Neodiprion lecontei: one gene and its partner. The protein of the gene in region 2 purifies or fractionates together with the protein of the main gene of each other region. This does not show direct contact. Links are inferred from orthologs where the notes say so. Each region holds a gene or a part of one and is shown on either strand. Other genes may lie near its edges.

Region 1 (11,309 bases), on a different chromosome or scaffold from region 2:
TAATTTAAATGAAATTTCAAAGAATACCTAAAATTTTGAAATAAAAAAAAAATATGGAATGCAAGTAAATACGACTTGCGACCAGCTCTGTGAGTCACATAGTGTAAAGGATACAAATAGCCCACCAAAAAATCCATTTGTTAGCAAACTTTGTCTACTTATGAAATACTTTTTCCATTGCCCACCAGTTTTCATCATAAGCAGCGCCTGTGAAAATAAACGTAAAAACACACGGTGTTAAACAGATTTATGAATACATTGTAAATACGGCGGCGAGTACAAGGTTCAAAGGGATTCAATAAGAGCGACTGTATCTTACCCATAACCCAACTACAGCGAATATATAAAATCCAAAACCATAGAGTCCAGTCAGACCCAAGAGTCCAGCCGTACTTCCAGATAACGCAGCCATGGATATCCTGCAGTATTCGACGACAGCTGAATTATTTCTAACCGCTCCCTCACTGTAAGCGACCACCTCTGAAATAAAGATTTGTCACAGTAACTATCACGTGACAGTATTATTGCAAAATATGTTGAACATAATGTAATGATTTGAACAAATTGTATCAAGTTGTCACATAAGTTCCGCTATGACAGATCATGACATGAAACAGTATGTGGCAAAAAACAAACATAACCTACATACATAATCTATGTATTTCGTTAGTCCTCGCTTTTCAATGGTCTGATTGATCATTGTAAGGACGTGGAACACTTACCGCCGGTTTTCTCTTGCTTTGTTCTTACTTTCGTAGACATGATAAGGCTTCCTTAAATTGCGGTTTGAAAAGAAAAAAATTACAATTCACTTCGACGCTTAACCCCAACACACAGGCATACACACGTAACACCACACACGCACGCGTCTCTTTTAATGTTTTACTCGCGGTCTTATAGTAGGTACTCCAAGCCCCTTCCTATATAACGCAGCGTGACCGTCTTGAGCCTGTGTTTCTCAATTTGTGCACCAAAGAACGGAGCGCTGCAATCTCCGAGGCCGGTGTATGCGTACTAAGTAGGCCTCTCCTTCACTAGCGCTAGCGGCGAAAATTCACAATATCGGCTTCACTTTCGAGCACGATTTTACAGCCGGAGTGCCCAGACTGTCTGTAAGACCGTGGTTTTACTCTATCAGAATCACTGGGCAGTGATGGCTACTCAGAATTTTTTTTATCCCACGAACCAGTGATTTTAGGCTCGCTGATTGGTTAAAAAGTAGTTTCCTTGACAAATGGTCAAAATTTTGTCAATTAATTTGTAAGTTTTTTCAGTTCAATTGATAGGCCACTATTGTATATTTTAAATCTAAGTATTCATTAAAGGATAAGATGTTGCACTTCAAGAATCGGCACGTATTTACACGGTTTATTATTTTCTAATTTTATACAGAGTAGAATTTGACACTGAAATCTCCCCTGTCAGTCATGTTGTTCTTGAAATTATGAATCGTTGAAGCGTCGACGATGAATGTAATATGTAGCAGCTATAGCGGTAGCAACATTAACAACAACAATGACAATAATCATAATAATCATTTTTTTTTCACTTGTAAGGATAAAAAAAAAACGGCAGTTTTACAGCAAAAAGACATTATACGCAATGGACAATGTCTAGTTTACTTTTCGTCTTGAATTTGACGTAACACCACTGTATTGTCAGTTCTTCCAATAAATCAGAACAATAATCTCAAAGACTCTTTTCATATGATCTGACTGACATTTAGTCAACATGACCAATATGATTATTATTCTTCTTCAACGAATGATCAGTTCTTCGACAAAACAGCAACATAAGTAATACCCAGTTATGTAATACATTACAATTGAGTATAAGTGCATGTTGTATTGAACGAAAAATAATTCGAGTAATAATTTTTCGTCAATTTGTGCTAAATATTATTATTCAGGGTCTGGAGTTCCGATGGCTTCTTCTTCTTCCTGTTGTTCTTTAGCAGCCTTTGCATCTGGGACCCATAGTCCGCTATCGATGCATCGTTTCATGTGGTACCTTGCTTCCTCTTCTGGCATTGATGCTATCGTCTGTTGCAACAACGGTATATCCTGTGCCTCAAAGCACTTTTGTAAGGCCTGAAATACAGAGTGAGAGCTCAGCAAGATCCTGAGAGCTGATTATACAAACAGTAACTTTGTAAGAGAAAATTGCGAACAACAGTCAGCACATAAGAATAATTAGTAGATAAACAGGTAGGGGAGAAGATAATTGAGACCAGTCAGCAATCAGCAATAAGTAGTAGATAAACAAGTAGGGGAGGTTTCAAACACGGGGTAGATATGCAGTTTAAACACCAACCTCAGGAAGTTCTTGAAACACTTGGACCGGATCTAGACCTCCAGGACCAAGGCGACTCTTTCGTTCTTCCTCTTCGGCTTCTTTTAGTGCCTCAGCTACTTTTTCTGCCGCTCTCTTGCGAATCCTTTCCTTAAAGGACTTCAGTTCGTCATCAAAGGAATTTTTATATTCAACCTCAGCGATTTGTATACGACTGAAGAAAGATCCGACACAGGCACGTGGGTCGACATCTAGCTGCTTGGAGAGTTCAAGAATATACTGCATGCAAATGCACTGGTGAGCTACATGCTCCATTAGGTCGTGTTTCTGCAACAATAGGAATAAATTCGTGGGTAATAAGTTCACAAACAAGAAGCAGCGATTTTAGTTTTTATAAGCCAGAAAACAAATGAGGAAAAGATCCTGAGAATTTCACCTCACACGTGTATTTCAGGAGAAAAATTGACAAAATCGCTAATAACGATACAGTCATAGCACAAACTTGTGTTTTTTCCGATTTGACTGTATGGGACTCTACGAGTATTTTGACTTGTGGATAATGGATTAATTTTCTACTCAAATGGTAACGTGACATCTATATTGGCATATTATCATTTCTTCATTTTCTTTCTTTAACTGTACTAATCATAAGGTAAAATAAATTCTATAGAATGTTTCATTTTTGGCCATCGTGAATAACTATGCGATTTAAAGAATTTGAAACAGTCTACAAATTTAAGATACAAGAATTTGTTATAAATCGACATTTTTTGTGTATACAAACCTCTTCCATTTCCAAGTTGATACACCAAATGACCAAGTAATTCGCCGTATTTTCGCAAACCAAATCTGGGTGGTCCTGGAGATATTTCTTACTATCGTCATACCTCCGCAGCATACCAAATTCCTTCAAAGTTTTTTCATTACGCTTAACAAACTGCTTCATCCTGTTCTCTTTCTCTTCATCTGGCAAGTTACTCTCATCTTCCTTTCTAGCTGGCTTTGTATTTATTACCGTCTTTGTAAAACCTGGTTGGGCAATTGTATCCACATTCCAAGGTTGTAACTTTTCCTTCTTCTTTAATTCTTCTTCCTTGTGCAATATCTCAGACTCTTTCATTTTAAGCTCTTCCAATGCCTTTTTAACAGATGTCAGGTCTTGCTGGTCCTTTTCCTCACCCTTTTCTACCTTGCTCAACTTTTCCTCCGCCTCTTTCAACTTTCGCGCAATTCTGCAACACGTGTATCATTTTTCACAATATTTTTCATACACCTTTAAACATGCCTAAATTTTCAACAGGAATGGACAAATCAAACCATTCTATGTAATTTGACAAGTCTTACTAGCAGGAAACTGTCTTACTCCTCTTTTTCTCTTTCATGCTTCTCCTGTTCTGCTCTTTGTTCCTGCATCCTTTCCAATCTAGCCTGATGCCGCCACCTAAACAGTGACGGAGTATCGATATTGGGATGGGTGTCATCTTCGTCATCAGATATCTAAGAAATACGAAAGAATTATAAGTAGGTATAACGAACAGAGCTCGGCAAAATAATTTTATAATTCACTTTTTGTTCATTCAACAAAAAATTTACTTATAATCTAATTCATGTACACGCAAGAAGTATAAATATCATTTAATTGTCAAATTCAAGGCTAGGAAACTGGTGAAAGGGCTTGAATTTTGTGCTTCGATAAGAATTGCGCGATAGAAAATTCCTAACTCAATAAACCGATATTGGCAAACATCGCGTTTATCTAAGATTCAGATTCGCATCTGCGGTTTCTCGAACCTTCCAAGATTCTCTTGTCCGCTCGGCCTCGTGTACTGGAGCCTTTGAATTACGATAGGACTCACCTCTATGTTTTTCCACTTGCTGTAATCGACCATTGTTGTGTTGTACAAGAGTGGTGCGGAACAGGTCTTCTGCCTCGTACTGTTGGTTAGGAAATTTGACAATTGTCAGGTGATACCGGTTTCTGGTAAACGCTGGTAACTGCTACTTGCACAGCCTCCGGATCTAAGCGTGCAAGCAAAATGCCAATGCACAATGCCAAACATTCCAGGTAGATCACGCGACGCGAGCGGCCTCCGTCGGATACGTATAGCAAAGTATCCACGAAATAGAGTACAATCAAGATAGCGCTGCTATAGGAAAAGATTCACATTTAAAAAAAAAAGCGCTCATCAGATTGACTCTGATTGCTTATTTACGCCATTCTGATTACTTGTTGAACACTATTTGTCGCTTTTTGGTGGACACTTTTTTAATTGACAATCCACATGAAACACTTCTTACCTCTAGCCTTCATAGAGATTGTTGACTGAGGATATATAATCTTCAGTCAATGATAGAGATAACATAAGATCACTGAAATCACGATAGACTGAAATATAATGATACTGGAACGCTTAATGCGATGGTGGGGGTTTCGGACCACAGAATTCTTTTGTAATGTTTATAGGTTCCACCGAGTAGTAGTCGAGTACTCACAAAAGTACGAGAAAACATCCGATTTTGATACAGATACGTAATTGATAAAGAGAAGAAAAACTGAATTTCCTAATGACTAAAAATACGTAAATAAACAGAAGGTTGAAGCATACATTGATCATAAATAATGTTATATTGTTTCAATATTTTTTCATTATAAATTATTTACATAATTTTAAATTGCAATAAATATTTCACTTTGTTCGACTATAATATATATAACAATATGCAATGCCAAAGTTTCCACCTACTCTTGAAGCATAACGCAGGCAGAAAGGTTTACTAAATTATTGTAAACATCTTGCATAAATTCTTAAAAATATGTGTATACCAAATAATAAACGACTGCACCATAGCGTTAATAAATGAACTGTGCTCATAATAGATTGGTACAAATTCTTTAAGTTTCGTTCAAATATTGTATTGTATAATATGTATACAACAATAAAAATTCTCGACTTATCAATGTTTTGAAATATACAGAGATATATCGTTGTAACTTATAGTCTTAATTATGAAATTCCGTTGAAACTAGGTTGGTTAAAATATGGAATTTTATAATTTTAAGAGCCACCTTTTCACATTGTCTGTTCCATAATATGCATGTAATATTGATAGTCATTGATGTAGCTATATCAGCCATTTTCCCGCCTTCACAGAATGTTTCATATTTGTTCAGAGATCAGATCGGGCTTTGATATTACAATTATACTACATATACTGTTCATGGAATAAATCATTCATTATGAATAATAACTTTTCCGAGCGAAAGAAAAGATATATGCGTTGAGCCTACTATTTGGAAATTGGATAGTTATAAACGGTAAGAATATACATTGTATAATACACCGATAATCATTACGCCTATTATACCCACTGGAGGAAAGTATGTATCACAGACAGTAGAGATAGATTATTTTACAGATACATCATGCTTTCATTCATTGTCAGTGAAACAGTAACATAAGAAATAGAATGCTCATGTCTGACGTTTCCCGTTACCCATTCAACTTATTACAGGACCTATATCTCTTTTGTTCCTACTTCTGAATAGTGATGTTTATTTCCCCAAACACTTTCATTGGTAAAAGAAACGGAACTTAGGAATAATCATAAAAATATTGCAGAGAGCTTCAATTGATTCAATTTGTAGAGATAAGATTTCTCGTCATTAAATTATTACAACTCTCTCGCATCCAACGTTTCGCGTTCTGGATCGTAATTTTCTGTAAAATCAAAAACCACCGGAGCTTTCAAGCTACAACAGTCTCAAATACGATTCGAATTGTGCGTGTCATTACCGTTGGTAAATTTCTTAAACTCTACTTTTTACACCCGCATATCGCATTTTCACGCTTGCAACGAATTCGAGATATATTTACTTAAAAAGCGTTATAACGAAATTGAACTCTATGAACGTTGACTACAGGAATGCCACTCCGTGTGAAACAAATGTTACACCTGATCAAATTAACGTATTTTTTGTGACTGTAATGTGTACTTAACATGTATAAGTCAAAGCTATACCGACATTATTATGAATATTATATAACCTACGTGTGATGTTTAAGTCTGAAAAAAAGCCAATAAAAATATTCACTCCTCAACGTCATCATTGTGCTATCTCATCATTTGTCGGAACATTTCCAGTTCGAAAACACTGTCAGACAACCTGTAAATAATTCAATATTTAATGACTTGAATTTTGGATTCAAAACAAAAATAGATATCATACCGACCTTCCAAAAGCGTTGATCAATGCAACTATTTCACTTCTCTCAAGATAAAACTGTTGCTTTGTAATATCATCCAATGTTGGTTCCCATCTATCAAACTTTCCAGAAAATAATATTTTCAATGCCGTTCCCAATCCGTGGATCTGCAACTTTCCCCAGAGTTTGCACTTGTCGCAACCAACGCAGTCCATAATCCTTGATATATTTCTGAAATGTTGTCTAAACTCTTCTTTCAACGCTTTATCCTGTGCTCCTCCATTGAACATAACACTTTCGTTGAAGTGATCAGGAAATGACCTGAAAATATTCTAAAATGTATCAAAATATTGAGCTCGTTATAAGCAAAAACGAAACACATGTGCGTATTTACCTTACGACATTCAAGAAATCATGAACAGCCAATCTGGTATCGCGATCATCCTCGTCATTACCAGTATAATATTCTTCTCTCAATAAATAAGGCGCAGCCTTCGCCAATGCTCTTAATTCAAGCAGATAAATGAAATACAAATTTTTCAGCCAAGTTGGTCCTTCGCCTCCAGTTGTTTCCGGAGAGAATCTCCTCTGTAGTTCTGATAAATTTGGACCCCATTGAGCACCAGCTGACACAGTTTCCAAACTATCCTTTTCTGACAATAAATACTTGGAGCACAGGTGAATGTTGATGCTCGAGTGTAACCCTGATACAACTCTATAGAAGACTCTCTTCTCTAAGCACATTCCTGTAAAATGTAATATTTTGGTGTTACTCATATAATTTGTGCATAAACTCAAATAGAATACAAGGTCATCCCATTCCGTGAAAAATAATCAATGAATTATGTCCATCAGAGTCAATATCTTAAAATCTTATCCAAAGGATGATGTGGAGATAAGATATGTAAAAATGTCTGGTTTCTCAATGAAATTTACCGTTCATTTTTGATTGTACAAAGTTGCGAGTAGACTTCTCTGGCCTAGAAATAATTAATGGCTGTTATAATATACATCCAAAAACGTAAGGATAAAAGTTTCAAAAACTCAGAAATTTCAAAAATAATTACCTGAAGCAATTTTCCATATAGATACTTCTCCATATTCTATGAGCACTGGGGCCCCTATAGCCTGTATACCTTTCAGGATTTAGCAACAAATCAACATATTCACCAGGACTTGTTTCACTCACACAGAAATTATCGACAGCGTCGTCGTGCTTTTGCCACATTTCAAATTCCTCATAATTTTTTACACTAGAACGAAATAACGTAATTAACCGTACATCTATTATTTGAGCTAAACCTGTTATCAAACTGTGAGTTAGTGCGGTATTTTTAACATTTTGCAAGAATTGGTTCATCATAACTATCCCTTTACCTAATCGTCGTGTTTAAATATCCAAGCTCTTTGTTATAGTCTTGAGAACTTCTTTCGCAGTCTTCTAGCGGTCTAGGAGCACTGTACTTATCGGCTGGATTTTCGTTGTAATGATTATGCCTAGATACATCTCCTTTCAGTCCAGCTGGTATATCTTCCTGTAAAAAAATTCTCAATTACACTGAAATATTTATGCATAACAGATAAATACATAATTGAATGAATAATTTACTACACTTACATCTTGGCATGGTTCTACATGACAGTAGCGTATCGCACATCTGCTGTCATCTGACCAGAAAGGACATTCTTGTTTCAAGTTGACTTTGTAAAATCTGAAGTAATCCTTAACCAATAGACTCCTTAACCTCGGATATATTTTCATATTATTGAAATGATCGACTGTATCCACGCTGCAACTACAGTCATCTATGGATCCTTTGAGCTACCAAGGCAATGGTAACAAGATAAAATAATGCTGACACTGTTTTCAAATTTTCTCATCATACTGTACAAAAGCAGAGGTAACAAACATACGGACTATAGACAGGCAAGTGAAGAAATGTTTGTACGGACTTCAAAATTACGACGATAATTGTAATTTTGTTCCTCTAATGCTCTATAATGCTCGTCAAAGGATGACAACGATCATAATAATAACAACAATAACGGGAACTATTGAAGACAATAATAATAAGAAATTGAAACGTCGAATCGGTCGCTCGTTGGTAGCGTGAAAAGCTGCGTAAACAATACTGTTGTTATTTTTTGATTGCGTAATCGAGATAGTACTCTGGAAATTCGTTCAGTTGACATCTGTTGTTTTGGGGTTATGTTAACGAGGTCACATATTTGTCAGGTCAAGATCAAGGACGATGCCTGGAATGATCATCTCACCTTACAGAAACATTGGTCATCGTTATCATTGCTTGTCCCGAAGTAATTAGCGTCGACACCGAACGTTGGGAATAAGAACAAAATAACGATCACTGAATTTGACAGCCACATTGTGCTGCCACAACACTGATTTATCTACACGTTCAATGAGAATGAAATGAATCTACAAAGAATCCGCGACGGTTGAATACTGAACGCGATTGTCGCAAGTGATGCCTTCTTAACCGACGTCGGATTTCCTCGTGACTAACCTCAACCGCACATCACGTAGTGCAACATACTGAGAAATCGCGTAATCTTCGAAAGTTCGCAAGACGTGTACGTTTCGTTAACGACGTGAGGCGGTGCGCGTAGGGCACGATAACGTTCTTTGAAATCGAAACGGGGAGGTGTAAATTTGTTGTACCGGGATAGGTTTCACTTTTCCCGTAGAAAAAAATATCAGCATCGCAGCCGCGTGACATGTTCCCGGTGTCGTGTAAGCAATTTATTGGTTCCCCGAAAATAGTACGACACTTGGTAGACCGTTATTGCACTACCGATCGTACCTATCAATTGGCATCTGTTTTGAAAGGTCGCTACGTTTCGACCGGTACTAAGGATGATCCTCAAAAGGAGAAGTCGATTTTATATAGGCATCTTTACTCCCGAATATTGGCCGGCGGGCCCATAACTATAGCTGAATATATGAGGGAAGTTTTGACCTCTCCAAGTGCTGGATATTACATGAATAAAGACGTTTTTGGCACTGAAGGTGACTTCACTACTTCCCCAGAAATCAGCCAGCTATTTGGAGAGGTAATCCTGATGGCCTACAAAAGCAATAAACGATCATCGCTAACCCTTTCATCAATTGTTGTTTTTATTATTATTAGATATGCAGTATTGATTAATCTTAGACATTTCGATAGATGATTGCTGTCTGGTCTGTAAACGAATGGAGAAAAATAAGCAACCAATCTGTGCAGCTGGTGGAATTAGGTCCGGGACGAGGAACCTTATCAAAAGATATACTCAGGGTGTGTCAAAAGATCTCATTAGTCCAAGGCTCACCTTTGTTCGTTTAGTTCAGATACACTAGAACCAAAAAAAAAAAATTAGCTTTGAGGCTTATAATTTTTACTTCGAAATATTGCCCACTCTGCCAGACAACCAAATTACCTGAAATTTGCAAAACTTATCCAAAATGCTGTATGTAGGCTTGAAGAGTTACGAATCAAAACTCAAACGTGTATTTAATCTATCTGGTGGTAATGGTTTATGCATGATAAGTTTCAAGTGATTGTATGAATTTCTAATAAGTTAAATGCATAGATTTTCAGCTCTTCAGCTGACTAGAACAGTATAAGAAATATTTCAATGCTAACTTCACTTACCAGTCTATATTTGATCTTTAAACTTTAATTTTGAACCTAATGCTTTCTGGTATTTGTTTTATCTATGTTGATTAAACTCTTTACACGGTTCTATGGACTTGTTGACTATCTTGCATGCATTTTATTAGCTGGTCTCACTTTTATTGAGCATATAGCGAAGCAAGGGCCTTCCTCTCTCTTGTAGTATTGCTGATAGATAGGTGTCTCTGTCGTTCAGGTTTACCACAAACTGGGATTATCCTCCAGAGTTTCATTACATTTGGTAGAGGTCAGCCCAACACTGTCTGACCTGCAAGCAAAGAATTTATGCAAAACATATGAAGAAATTGACAATGACAAATGTCAATCTTATTACAAACATGGCACAACAGAGGATGGTGTCACAGTGTTCTGGTATCGAACCATCCACGATGTTCCTTCTGGTTTCAGCATCATAATTGCACAGGAATTTTTCGACGCTATGCCCATACATAAGTTTCAGGTGAACTAATCTGAGCGTGAAGATGGAATTTCCAGCTTCTTAGCTGCCAATTTAAAACATTGCTTCTTCCTTTTTTAGAAAACAAACGAGGGATGGAGAGAAATTTTAATCGACATCCATTCAGAGTCGAAAGAGACTGAAAAATTTCGCTACGTCTTGTCTAGGTCAGCTACTCCGAATACCAAGTTTTACATCTCTGTAAGCATTAGTGAGCGTAGGAAATATCTAACTTTCTAAAACAAATGAAGATAAGTTACATTTGATGATGAATAAGGTTTAGAGTCTGTTGTTTGCTGTCCGAATAAGTATGTGTGAAACAGTTATTACAAATTTGAAATATCTAAATGAGATACGCAATTTTAAATATAACCGTTGTTGAGAATTCTAGCACATATGACCCATACATGTAAAATTACATGATTTATGTCACTAATTTATATGCATCAATTTTTTTTAGGAACACGAACGCAGGGATCACATCGAAACAAGCCCGCAAACCGCCGTAATTATAGATTATATTGCAAATTTTCTCATAGGAAACGGAGGATTCGCGCTTATTGCTGACTACGGTCATAACGGAGATCGAACAGACACGTTTCGAGCTTTCCGTAATCACAAGCAGCAGGATCCACTCACGAATCCAGGAACAGCTGACTTGACTGCAGACGTTGACTTCTCACT
Region 2 (10,699 bases):
AAAAAAAAAAAAAAAACAACAAAGAAACCAATTACATACCTGAAAGGGTATATTCATTGAGGAATGAGGATGCGTACGTTTCCGATTGAAAGTAGCAGATATAATTGCATTATGATGGTTTGTAGATGTTATCCCAGGCCTGGTTAGTATTGGAGAAACATTCGTCATAGCTAAAGATATTGTATTTTTTTTTTAATTGCGAATGAATAAATGCAGTACATTTTATAACTATTATATTAGCAGTTTAATAGTACCTATGCTAAATACGAGTTGATATAGATAATTTAATACCTTTTTCATCAATTTCACGCACCTGATGGCAAATTTTTAATTATACGAATAATTACTTGAGTCACCGTCAAGTTTACATAAATTTTGTTAATTCAACACACATTGTTGAACCAGAAACTAAAGAGTTACAGAAAAAAACGGAGGATATGTTGATAACGATTGGTTTTGTATAAACGTCTAATTTTTGGTAAAGTAGATTTGAATTCTGATTTATTAATGATTCCCATGATAAAATAGACAAATTTTCAATACCGTATCTGTTACAATTTCTCAATTCATCATTAGGTAAAAGAATCCATTAAACCTGAAACCTACGAAGAACCTACGCTGATGTAATATTATTCTAATACTTACCATCGGCCTGTATAGTTCGTTTGAATTCATCAAACAGTTTTTGAGGAAGACCGCAAGACGGTGGAACTTTAGACTCACAATCTCTATGGCACTTATATTTGCATTCCTTGCACTTAAGACCTGTGCCAATGAACATTTGTTTATCACAATAATCACAAGTGGTCATCATTTTAAAGGTTTTAGTAAAACGGTGAGCAATAACGTGACCCATGCCACGAGTCACTGTGGGAGTTCGTGGAGACTTTGGCACCTGAAGACTCGTGACTGAAAATAATAAGAGAAAATCTTAAATGGTAGACGGCTTGAAAAATGGGTGAATTCTGGGAATTTATATCTCGACAAACAATCATTCAATTTGATTGAGGTTTATTTTATCAAAAAGTAAGAACATCGAGCTGTGTTCACATATTGTTTTTATGAGAATCAATTTATGGGAGTTTTATTTGTTAAAAAATTTACACAAACAAACCTCGGTTCACGTGCTTAGATATAAACAAAATGCCGATCGAATTTAATTGATTGTCAACGTATCAATTCCCAAAATTTATCCATTTTTAACCGCGTAAGTAATTCCAGGCAATGATGTACAATTTTAAATACAAATAAACTCTTTCACATCGCCTTACTCTACGAATAAATATATTGGTAAATCTGTAATAAAGGTAGAGAATTATCTAACCTGTAGCCTTAAAGCTGTTATCGTCACTGTTAGCGCTGGAATAGGGTGGCGAGTTTATAGGACTGTCAGTGTTACTGTTACCCAAAAGAATGTCTCCAGTAATGTCTGCGCTACTGCTACGAGGACCTGGCTCAGTAGACAATCTTGCTCTAGTGGTACTGCTACCAACGGTTGGATCTGCACCACTGTTACAACATGGGCATGCAAATTAAGTAAATCCAATTATCAAACAAGTTATAATTATTCTTAGCGTTAACATTACAGGTTATAATTTAAACCGAATGAGATGGAATATTTGTCTCCAAGATCATCAGCAGGTGACTGTAATGCTTTACAGTATATTGAAAATAAAGTACAACCTTGACGCTGTTTCCCCATTTTCTAGACGATTGGCCAACTGTGATTCGTGTGATTTGGATTTAGTTAGCGGAAATACTTCAGGCTGTGTCACAGTACTTTGTAGGCCAGTTTGGTGTCTCTTGCAGGGAGGAGGCGTTGTCGGAACTCTTGCGTCTGGAAGAACGAGAAATTTTCATAATCATGGATCGTTTTACATTGCTTAAGGTAGGGTATATATATATGAGTAGATGCCTCAAAAGTTGTGTAAATTTCGGCAATTTATACCTCAACAACTGATTACACAATTCAATTAGGATTTGCTTTATTTGAAAGTATACAAATCGAGCTGCATTTATATATATATATATATATATATATATATATATATATATATATATATATTTTTACTACAATGAATCAAGAGGGAATATTGTCATCGACAATGACGTTACTTTACTTGGTGATGAGTTTCGTGGTATCTGTGATTCCTCAAAAATGGCTGAACCAATTTACTTGAAATTTGGACACAGTATTCTGAAATAGTTTCTCTTATTATTATTTTTTTTTTACTTCATTCAATAAAATAGCGACCATTTAAAGTTGAATTTCTGTAGTTTTTTTGTTCAAAGTCAAAGAAATTATATTCAATTATAATAGGAAAACTATGATTAAAGAAAAGGAGCGATAGCAGCAAAAGGGATAAATATTCAAAAATACAGTCTCCAAATTAGAAGTAAATTGGTTGCGCTGTTAGTGACGTCGTGGGTGTTACCGTCACTAACAAAGCTTCCTATTAATTGATTCTAATACAAAAATGACTGTAACGAAAGTTGATCCACATACTTTTGAATTTAAAAAAAACCTGATCAAACCGAATAATCGGCTGTCGAGATATAAAATACCGAAAATCAGCGATCTACTTGTACGTGGTCCCTCAAACGATAGAAATCAATTGAAGCAACGTACTGCGGCCCTGTCTGTTCAAAAGTGGCGTAGAGGGGGGTGTTGTCATCGACAGAGAACTTATAGACGATGCTTGGCCCAATGTATCGCTGTTGAGATTATTGTTATTGTGATATGGAATGCTATCTTCAGAGGGTACGGAACAACGCGTAGTACGAGAGCGTGCTGAACGAGGAGATGGCCCTCCTCGTAGATGATGTCTGTCCCAGGAGTCCCAATACAGAGCCATCTCGCTACTTTCCATATCGCCCCGCAAAAGAACGTCTGTAACACAATTGCATTACATTGAATGAAGTGTTTAAAATATAATACTTACTACCAAGGGTCAAGTGATTTTATCACTTATGCATACTGGTGTTAAATTTTGTATACGACACAGGAACTACAAAGCTCACCCATGTAACGGTGCAGATTGTGTAACGCCCTACAGAGCCTACGGAGTTCTTCTTCGTGACGCAAATTGTTCTCGCCCAGCATACTACCCAATTCATGCTCCGACTTTTCTTTCAACGCTTCCAGAGAACTCGCTTTCGAACAAACCATCTGTAATTACATAATTTGTATGTATCCGTGTAATCTTCACAATAGTGGGTCAATTTAGTGTCACTTTAGCATTTATACTAATAATGATCTATAGTACATTTAATAGAATTGAAAGCTGCTGAAAATAGTATCGCAATTAACGATACCTGAATTGATTCTTGAGTTAGGCCAACAACGCGAAGCCATTGTTGCAGAGATGGATATTGCCTCATTTCAACAGGCAATGACTCGACAGCAAGCTTAGCCTTCCTCACAAGTTGTTTGGAATATAATTTTATCAATTTTCCCTGTTGACGAAAAAAATATATCATTAGATTATTCGTTATACTTTTTATTTTTTGTATCTTTAAAATAATCATGTTTATTATGCGGCATCAGTCAATGTAATAACACTCTGACAGAATATTTGTGTCTTGTATATTAAATGCGTAGTCATCTTTAAACTTTTATCTTTCCGAAGAATAGCTGGCTTAAAAGTTTGATATACAAATATTTTAATAATCTAAAAATGAGTTTCGTATCATGTATATTATTTTACAAAATTATAACGAACACAATCATGAAACTCAATGTTGAGTTCCAAATTCATCGCAACAGCTAAAACCTAAGGAAGAAGTTGAAAGGTGGTAGAATAAACGGATTTAAAAATGCAGAGATAAATAAAACAGTAGACATATATGCAAAATATGCATCTTCAAATTAAAGAAATCAGCTTTTTCTTCTGTATATGTAAATCCTTAGTATAAATAAAAACGAATTTCCTTGTTCCTTTCCACAAGACATGCTTTTGATATTTACTTGGAATTTTTTTTATCAATGTCGACTAGATTATGGACAGAAATGTAAGAAACAAGAGGCATCACTTCACTGATTGAATAAGATTGGTGTAAGACTTTTTTATAAATCGTACCTACAATTCAATAGTTTGACCAAGTTCAAATGTGTGGAAATTGAAAATTGATTGGGTACAAAACTACAGCATGTTGAAATCCCATGTGAAAACACAGTATAATTTGTACAGGTCATAGAGAACTGCAGGAAATTGACATATTAATGTGGCTGTACTAACAATGCCATGGTAACAACCAAAAAAATTTGTCCATGATAGTTGAATCATTGTCGAAGTTTGAAGTATTGTATGGAATTCTTTCGGGAACTTAGAACTTGGCTTTATTAGGCAATGAGACGCATTTTGCATGAAAATTGAGATTCCCAAAGTGTATTTAAAATTTTTTTAAATCTACAACATAGTTGTCATAAATGTTTAACGGTTATTTGACAAATAGACTGATAATAGACTGAAAAAAAAAAACACGTGGATATTATTCCTCAATCTCTCATTTATCCAAAATCATGTTTTTTATACTTGAAGTGTGGCAAATTTGAACTTGAACACTGAACTTGAAATATACTGAATAAGCAGTTTTATTTTAGACATAAGAGCAGTTAATTCATTGGAGGCGTTGTTACCAAACAATTTTTATTATACAGATGTATTGTTAACTTGGATAGATTCATGAAATTTTATAAAGTATACCATATATTTTTACACTTAGAACAGTAAAAATCGTAGTAATTTCCAGGTTTCTTGAGTATTAATTGTAAAATTATGTCATCACACAATGGTAGAATAGAAGAAAATTAAAATGCTCCGAGAAAAGTGCTACGAACGGAGATCTTCTGAGTTTGAAAAATCAATTTTTTAGAGTTTAGATGCTGACCCCATTTCGCTGACTTTGTCATTAAAGTTTATGAAGTAAGGAATATGTCATGTTAGCATAATCAATCTTGTTCTAGATATTTTTGAAGTATAACGAGGAAAATTGGTTCCGGCTTGTGATTAACACAGAAAACTTTCTAAGCAACAATGTTTCAATAACAAACATTCTGCTCTTAGATCAACCATCTGAAATCAACTTAAGGACTAAAAAAAACAAAACAAACATAACACAATTTTTATGAATATTACCATGCTACAATAATTTGATGCTGATTGTAAAATTTTAAGACTGACTTCCTATGAAGTGACACTGAAACTTTTGCAGTGCGCCACTTGATTATTAAACTAACTGGGTCAAGGGAATACAAATCACAAAGAATACATTTTAACCGATACTGTGTTTTAAAAGAAAGAAACGAGTAACTATGCAATAATAGCAGTGTTATCAATTTCTTGTAGAAGGAAAATTGAAGACTGACAAGTCTTTGAAAGATACTTTTCATATGAATGAATTCTCTGCTACTTGGCACAGAATCCTACCCTGTGGATAAGGTACACATTAAGAAATAAAAAGAAATTCTTAACACGACAAGCGGTGATGTTTTTAGAATCACTGAATGTTGTGAGAATTTTGTTTAACTGAAAACATGGTATCAAACATTGAATTACAACTGTATTTATCGACAGCTCGTTTCCAAGAATTAAATGATAAGCCTTGGCGCATCATGTTCTCGAGAATTATTATACCGGCCTATATTAGAATCAGTGCGATACGATTGATCAATTTTAAATAATTGGACGGATTTTTTAATTGGAAAATAGGAATATTCGAGGCTTAGAGTAGCAGGAGAAAGGAATGATTGATATATTTTCTATTTCCTGTAACAGGTCAAGCGGATTTGGAGCAAGAAGGAACATGAATAGGCGAGTGATATCGGGAAATTAGCGAAGCAAAAGGCGGCCAATTTCATAAGAAAAAATGCATCGTGTACCTCCAGCGTGCGTATTTCTTGTTGTGTTAACTCCGCGCTGGTAGAGCACTGAGTCCGTAAGCCTTCAAGCCGATCGGCCCAGATGTCAATCATGGATTGATCGACATCTAGGGCTCGCCGAATGTCCTGTTCAGCCTCCTCGCTGTCCGCCATGAGAAACGGTGACAGCTTCTTGTCTCGGTCACTAAACAACTTGTTATTTCACCAACATAGTATCCCCGACGCGAGGCCCCTATCGAATTCAATATCACAGGTATCGTAAGTAACCAAACCACTTATCAACATTGACAGCCATCTTGGCAGCCTATCAATGACGTCAGAGACGCCCGGCAGTCGTACGTATGGAACCCTCCCCGCCCTGAACCCCTTGTCGACGATCAAAGTCCAGTACGTGCGTTCGCAAACTCATCACTTCCTACCTTCATACGTTGTAGTAGGCCTTTTTTATCGAGCGAGTCAATCAGGGGCACTATAGAGATCAGTGATCGAAGTCTATGGGGTGCACCAGCCTCCTAACACTCACCACTGCTCGTATACTGAAAACTTGTACGCGTTTTGTCCCCGTTTTTTAGTTCCTCTACGTGGCGCTAGTAGACTTCTGACACGCTCGCTGCCCTCGCTGAGCGCGCGCAAGCTTGTCAGACAACTACTAGCGCCACTAGTGGTGGGAATTGGCGGCAGAATCGAGGGACATTTTGCGAACCACTTTTAGCAGCGTGTGTCAGGAGGCTGGGGTGGACACTACCATTCCACGGACAAATTACTCGTCGGGCTTGGACCAAACTGTAGCCAACATAATAGTGATTAGGACTAAAGATATTATAGAACATTTTATACTATCACTACCGCCACACCAATCGACTATCAAACGATTGGATAATCGAAATTGAAAAAAACTCAAGTTGCTCGGTCAACTTTACGTACGAATTGGTAATTCAGTGTTTGTGGCGACCATAGACTCGGCGACCAAAAATGTAGCCAAATAAAATTTTATATTATATACTTTTGTCCCATAGTTGTGGTATCGCTTTGGTTCAAACCTTTTGAATACCGTATGGAGGAGAGTATAAGTAGTCCACCCCCTGCGAGTCTACTGGCTGTTATTTTTCGTCACTAATGATGAACTGATGTATAGAACTTCTTCAAGACACTTTCTAATATTCTGAAAAGGCCACAAGACAAATATTAAGGAAACGCAATGCTCTGCCATGAACAAATTTCATTTCTTAGTTTACTAATGATACCAAAAAATAAGGATCAACTAATTCGGTCGATACAAAAGCGCTATCACATGCCCTTAAAGTCTCAAAAATCCAGGTTCTCTCAGGTTTTTCCTCATAAAACCCGAGTAAAATTGGATCTGATTCATTACACATTTGTGATGCGATGAGTATTGCATTTCTGTTTAGCGTCATTGAACATGGAATTAATGATATAACCCATTTGGTTAATTTATTAACTATTAATCAATAATTTAGTGTATGAATCAAACCATTCTGCAAACAATTTTTGCTTCCTGCAAGCGTGCTACTACAGTTTTGTCTAGTAGATGCTCATGATATACTATGAACGAGTTCACAGTCATGTTTATTACTTTATAACATAGTTACTAGGTATAAGGTATTATTTTAAGGCCAATTATTCATTCGACGTTTTCCCAATACTTGATAAACACATATAATATAAAAATACACGCTCTTCACCTTTCATCAAAAAACAATATTAAAAGAGAAATTTTTTTTAGACCGGGTTTGTTCGGACCAGGTTTTTTTAGATGGGTTTTTCGGGTGCTCAGTGAATTGAATTGAGTCGAGGAAAATTGGACTCACCCTACAGCCCATAATTAAGTACTGCACATGCGCAATGCTTGCTACGAAACTTAAATCTGCGAACTTGCTGTGATTTTTGGTCTCGTGAACACAGTGCTTTATTAAAGGAAGTCTTGAGCTACAAAATACTCACAACTGAGAGCCAAATTTCGAGTAAGAATAAAAAATTCAAATATTGGATACCATTCGAGAAAATGAAAAATTAGCCTTTAGAGGTCGGCTCTTTGATGCTAATAATATAACAAACGAAACCATATGTATAATTACTGACGGTTACTGAAACGTTTTAATTAAATAATCGTTGACCTAATGTTAAAGAGATAAATTTTATTTACACAACATAACGAACTGGTCACGTCTGTATATGGATATGTATAAAGGCATTAAATTTATTTACAATTATGAAACGTTAAGTTGTAAATGGGGTGTATATATACAGCAGTTCGAATTCACGTAGAACACATTTTGTAGATAAAAGGTATCTTCAAGTGTTTCACAACCAGTCTGGTTTGATGCCAGGACAAATCACTTACCGCCATCGTCTTTGAATGACGGGTTCGTTGTACCAGACTTTTCGTTAAGAACGATATCTCCATTAGGAAGTTCATCTTCATCTTCCGCAATCTCGACGTACTTGTAAAACCAAGCAAGAATACCAAATATTAACATGTCTACAAACATGAGGCCGGCGAATAGGAAGAATTCACTCGCCTGGAAAATAAAACGAAAACGATTGTTATAACGAAAAGGTACTCACACCTAATAAAGCTCAAACTCGATTTGAAAAGGATTCATTAATAATTTTGATCATTCTTGGACATATAGTATAGACTATTACGTAGTACTATTAATGAAATTGGAACGCATGCAAATGTGAAAATTTAAACATGATAAATATCTAAAATCCTGTTCGCGACATTACAAGATGCATGAAAAAAATATCGAGATCGTGGTATTCAAGTAAAGTATACAGCCATTCTTACCTGGCTATCGAAGAAGGCTACTTCGGCAACGATAACGACGATAAGATTACCAAAGGCGACCGTAAGAAGCCAGCAAGCCTGGAGCAAGGCTTTCATACTGACCGGTGCTTGGGTGAAGGCAAACTCAAGACCAGTGATAGAGAACATAACTTCTCCGACAGTGATCACGATGTACTGTGGCAAAAGCCAGAGCATGTGCATGGAGTTTGGTTCGGTGATCGTAATGGTGTTGGCAGTGGCGGAACTGAGATCGTTCACGTAAGCTGTGACGGTGTAGACACCTCCGAGCTTTAACACTACTGACGATTCTACCAAGGTCTCATCCAAATATATGTCATAGGTACCAGGATCAAGTTCGGTAAGATCAGTTACGTTGAACGGCGATATCACCTCCAAAGACAGGACGGTTTTCGAATTTTCAATAAAGTTTAGATTAGCCGTATCCCCGACCGACGAGTTGAGGTAAACCAAAGCTCGGACAGCCGGATCTCCACTCGTCGTCTTGGACACGCTGTCCACGTAGCTGTTGCTTATTCCATCTTTCGTTACGACCCATGAAGTGGCAGTAGCTTCAGTTCCATAAATGGTTCCTGAAACGTTTCACATGTTCATTAAGTAACCGTATATCAGGTCATTCCACAAGAATATTACGAGGATAATTCATCGCGTGGTGAATTCGCTTGCACTTATGCAATACAGGGTACTCCTTGCCAGTTGAAATTTTGCTCATTGTTCGCGATTGGCCGACTCTTCTCTTTACGTCCAATCGTAGACCATGAGAGACAAATTTCGATCGTTAAAATGTACTCGGAGTTGCCGAAATGCAGCCGGATTTCGTTAGAAATCTCCCTTGTATTGCGTAAATGCAGACGGGATATCTTTCCGTGAAATTATTCCGCAAAGGTACACGGAGAGAAAAAAAAGAGCGATTTTACTCAAAACTGTAAGAAAAGAAGGACACATCGGGGTTTTTGGTAAAAAAATACCGATGTCAATTATATTTTTTACTAGAAATTTAGTAGATTTTACTTTGCACACAGTAGTTTTCACTGTTTCTAGAATAAATTCTGCATTTTGCAAAGTATATTTTACCAAATCATATGATGTGTTCCTTTGTTCCTGAAGTTTTTAGTACATCTGCTCTTTTATTCTCTTCGTGTACGAAAGGTGATGTGGCTCTTTTTTACAATGCGTACAAACATTCCCCACTTACCACTCACGGCTCCGTTCAACGTATCTGTCACGCCAAGACTCGAACAACTAGCGAAATTGGCAGTGTAAGCGAGACTAACGTTACCGTTGGCCTCAACGTACTTATTTTCCCAAACCTCCATGTTTTCCAGCACAAAAGAATCATCTCCGACTGTCATTGTGATCGGACAATTCAAGGTGTTGAAGACTCTGACTTGGGCTAGTCCAGACGAAGGAAGCACGGGATACGTTGACTGAAATATATTAAGGAAATCTGAAATTATACGTTCTTGACGTTTGCATGGTTCTAGAAGATTCCATAATTATAATTGTACTGTTGAAACTGATGAGGAATAGCACTTTTATAGTGGTTAAAATTTATACCTCAAGCTGCAACTCCACGATGGCAGAAATTATGAATGCAATTCCAGCCAAGAGTCCACCGGTGGTGAGCTTCTGCAGAGGAGTTCGCAGCAGACGCAACTTGTTAAGGCAGGGATAAATTGCGGTTTCGAAAATCGGTATCAATATGATGATAAGCAGTGGATTGACCACTTGCATCTGGTCCGGCTTTAGGAGAAAACTGCCGATCTGGCCGTCCATTCGTGTCGCTTGGATCGTCCATCTTGATCCTTGCTGATCAAACAGGGCCCAGAAAAAGGGCAGCGGGAGGAACATTTTTATCACTTGGAACGCTGACCTGATATCCGAGATGAATTTCGGGTCGTATTTGTCATCCGCGTAATCCAGCCAGTATTCTCTTTCTTCACCTTTCTTCGACCTCCATTTATTGCCGATTCCATGCTGCAGTTAAT

What was found.
Region 1: the proteins of kinase suppressor of Ras 2 (region 2) and hsp90 co-chaperone Cdc37 purify together in Homo sapiens (affinity purification with mass spectrometry; 3 studies listed by BioGRID and IntAct, with this or other methods). This does not show direct contact. The link is inferred for Neodiprion lecontei from reciprocal best matches to the Homo sapiens genes KSR2 and CDC37.

What each region holds. Positions count from the first base shown.
Region 1 is NC_060264.1:26,443,200-26,454,508, forward strand, and holds hsp90 co-chaperone Cdc37, read right to left. Parts: upstream 4,368-11,309; 5' UTR 4,182-4,367; coding exon 4,149-4,181; intron 3,790-4,148; coding exon 3,656-3,789; intron 3,525-3,655; coding exon 3,077-3,524; intron 2,620-3,076; coding exon 2,314-2,619; intron 2,091-2,313; coding exon 1,902-2,090; 3' UTR 1,341-1,901; downstream 1-1,340. Other genes in the region: ER membrane protein complex subunit 6, read right to left, coding at 115-207, 320-480, 723-762; ero1-like protein, read right to left, coding at 6,406-6,457, 6,525-6,818, 6,892-7,243, 7,434-7,477, 7,565-7,750, 7,875-8,032, 8,116-8,319, 8,772-8,882; protein arginine methyltransferase NDUFAF7, mitochondrial, read left to right, coding at 9,234-9,569, 9,683-9,790, 10,365-10,628, 10,707-10,826, 11,086-11,309. UniProt on the Homo sapiens protein: Co-chaperone that binds to numerous kinases and promotes their interaction with the Hsp90 complex, resulting in stabilization and promotion of their activity. Inhibits HSP90AA1 ATPase activity.
Region 2 is NC_060266.1:5,381,343-5,392,041, forward strand, and holds the start of kinase suppressor of Ras 2, read right to left. Parts: upstream 6,201-10,699; 5' UTR 6,035-6,200; coding exon 5,882-6,034; intron 3,457-5,881; coding exon 3,316-3,456; intron 3,170-3,315; coding exon 3,022-3,169; intron 2,891-3,021; coding exon 2,630-2,890; intron 1,838-2,629; coding exon 1,684-1,837; intron 1,510-1,683; coding exon 1,325-1,509; intron 910-1,324; coding exon 646-909; intron 171-645; coding exon 40-170; intron 1-39. Other genes in the region: peptide transporter family 1, read right to left, coding at 8,236-8,421, 8,694-9,283, 9,907-10,138, 10,269-10,688. UniProt on the Homo sapiens protein: Location-regulated scaffold connecting MEK to RAF. Has very low protein kinase activity and can phosphorylate MAP2K1 at several Ser and Thr residues with very low efficiency (in vitro).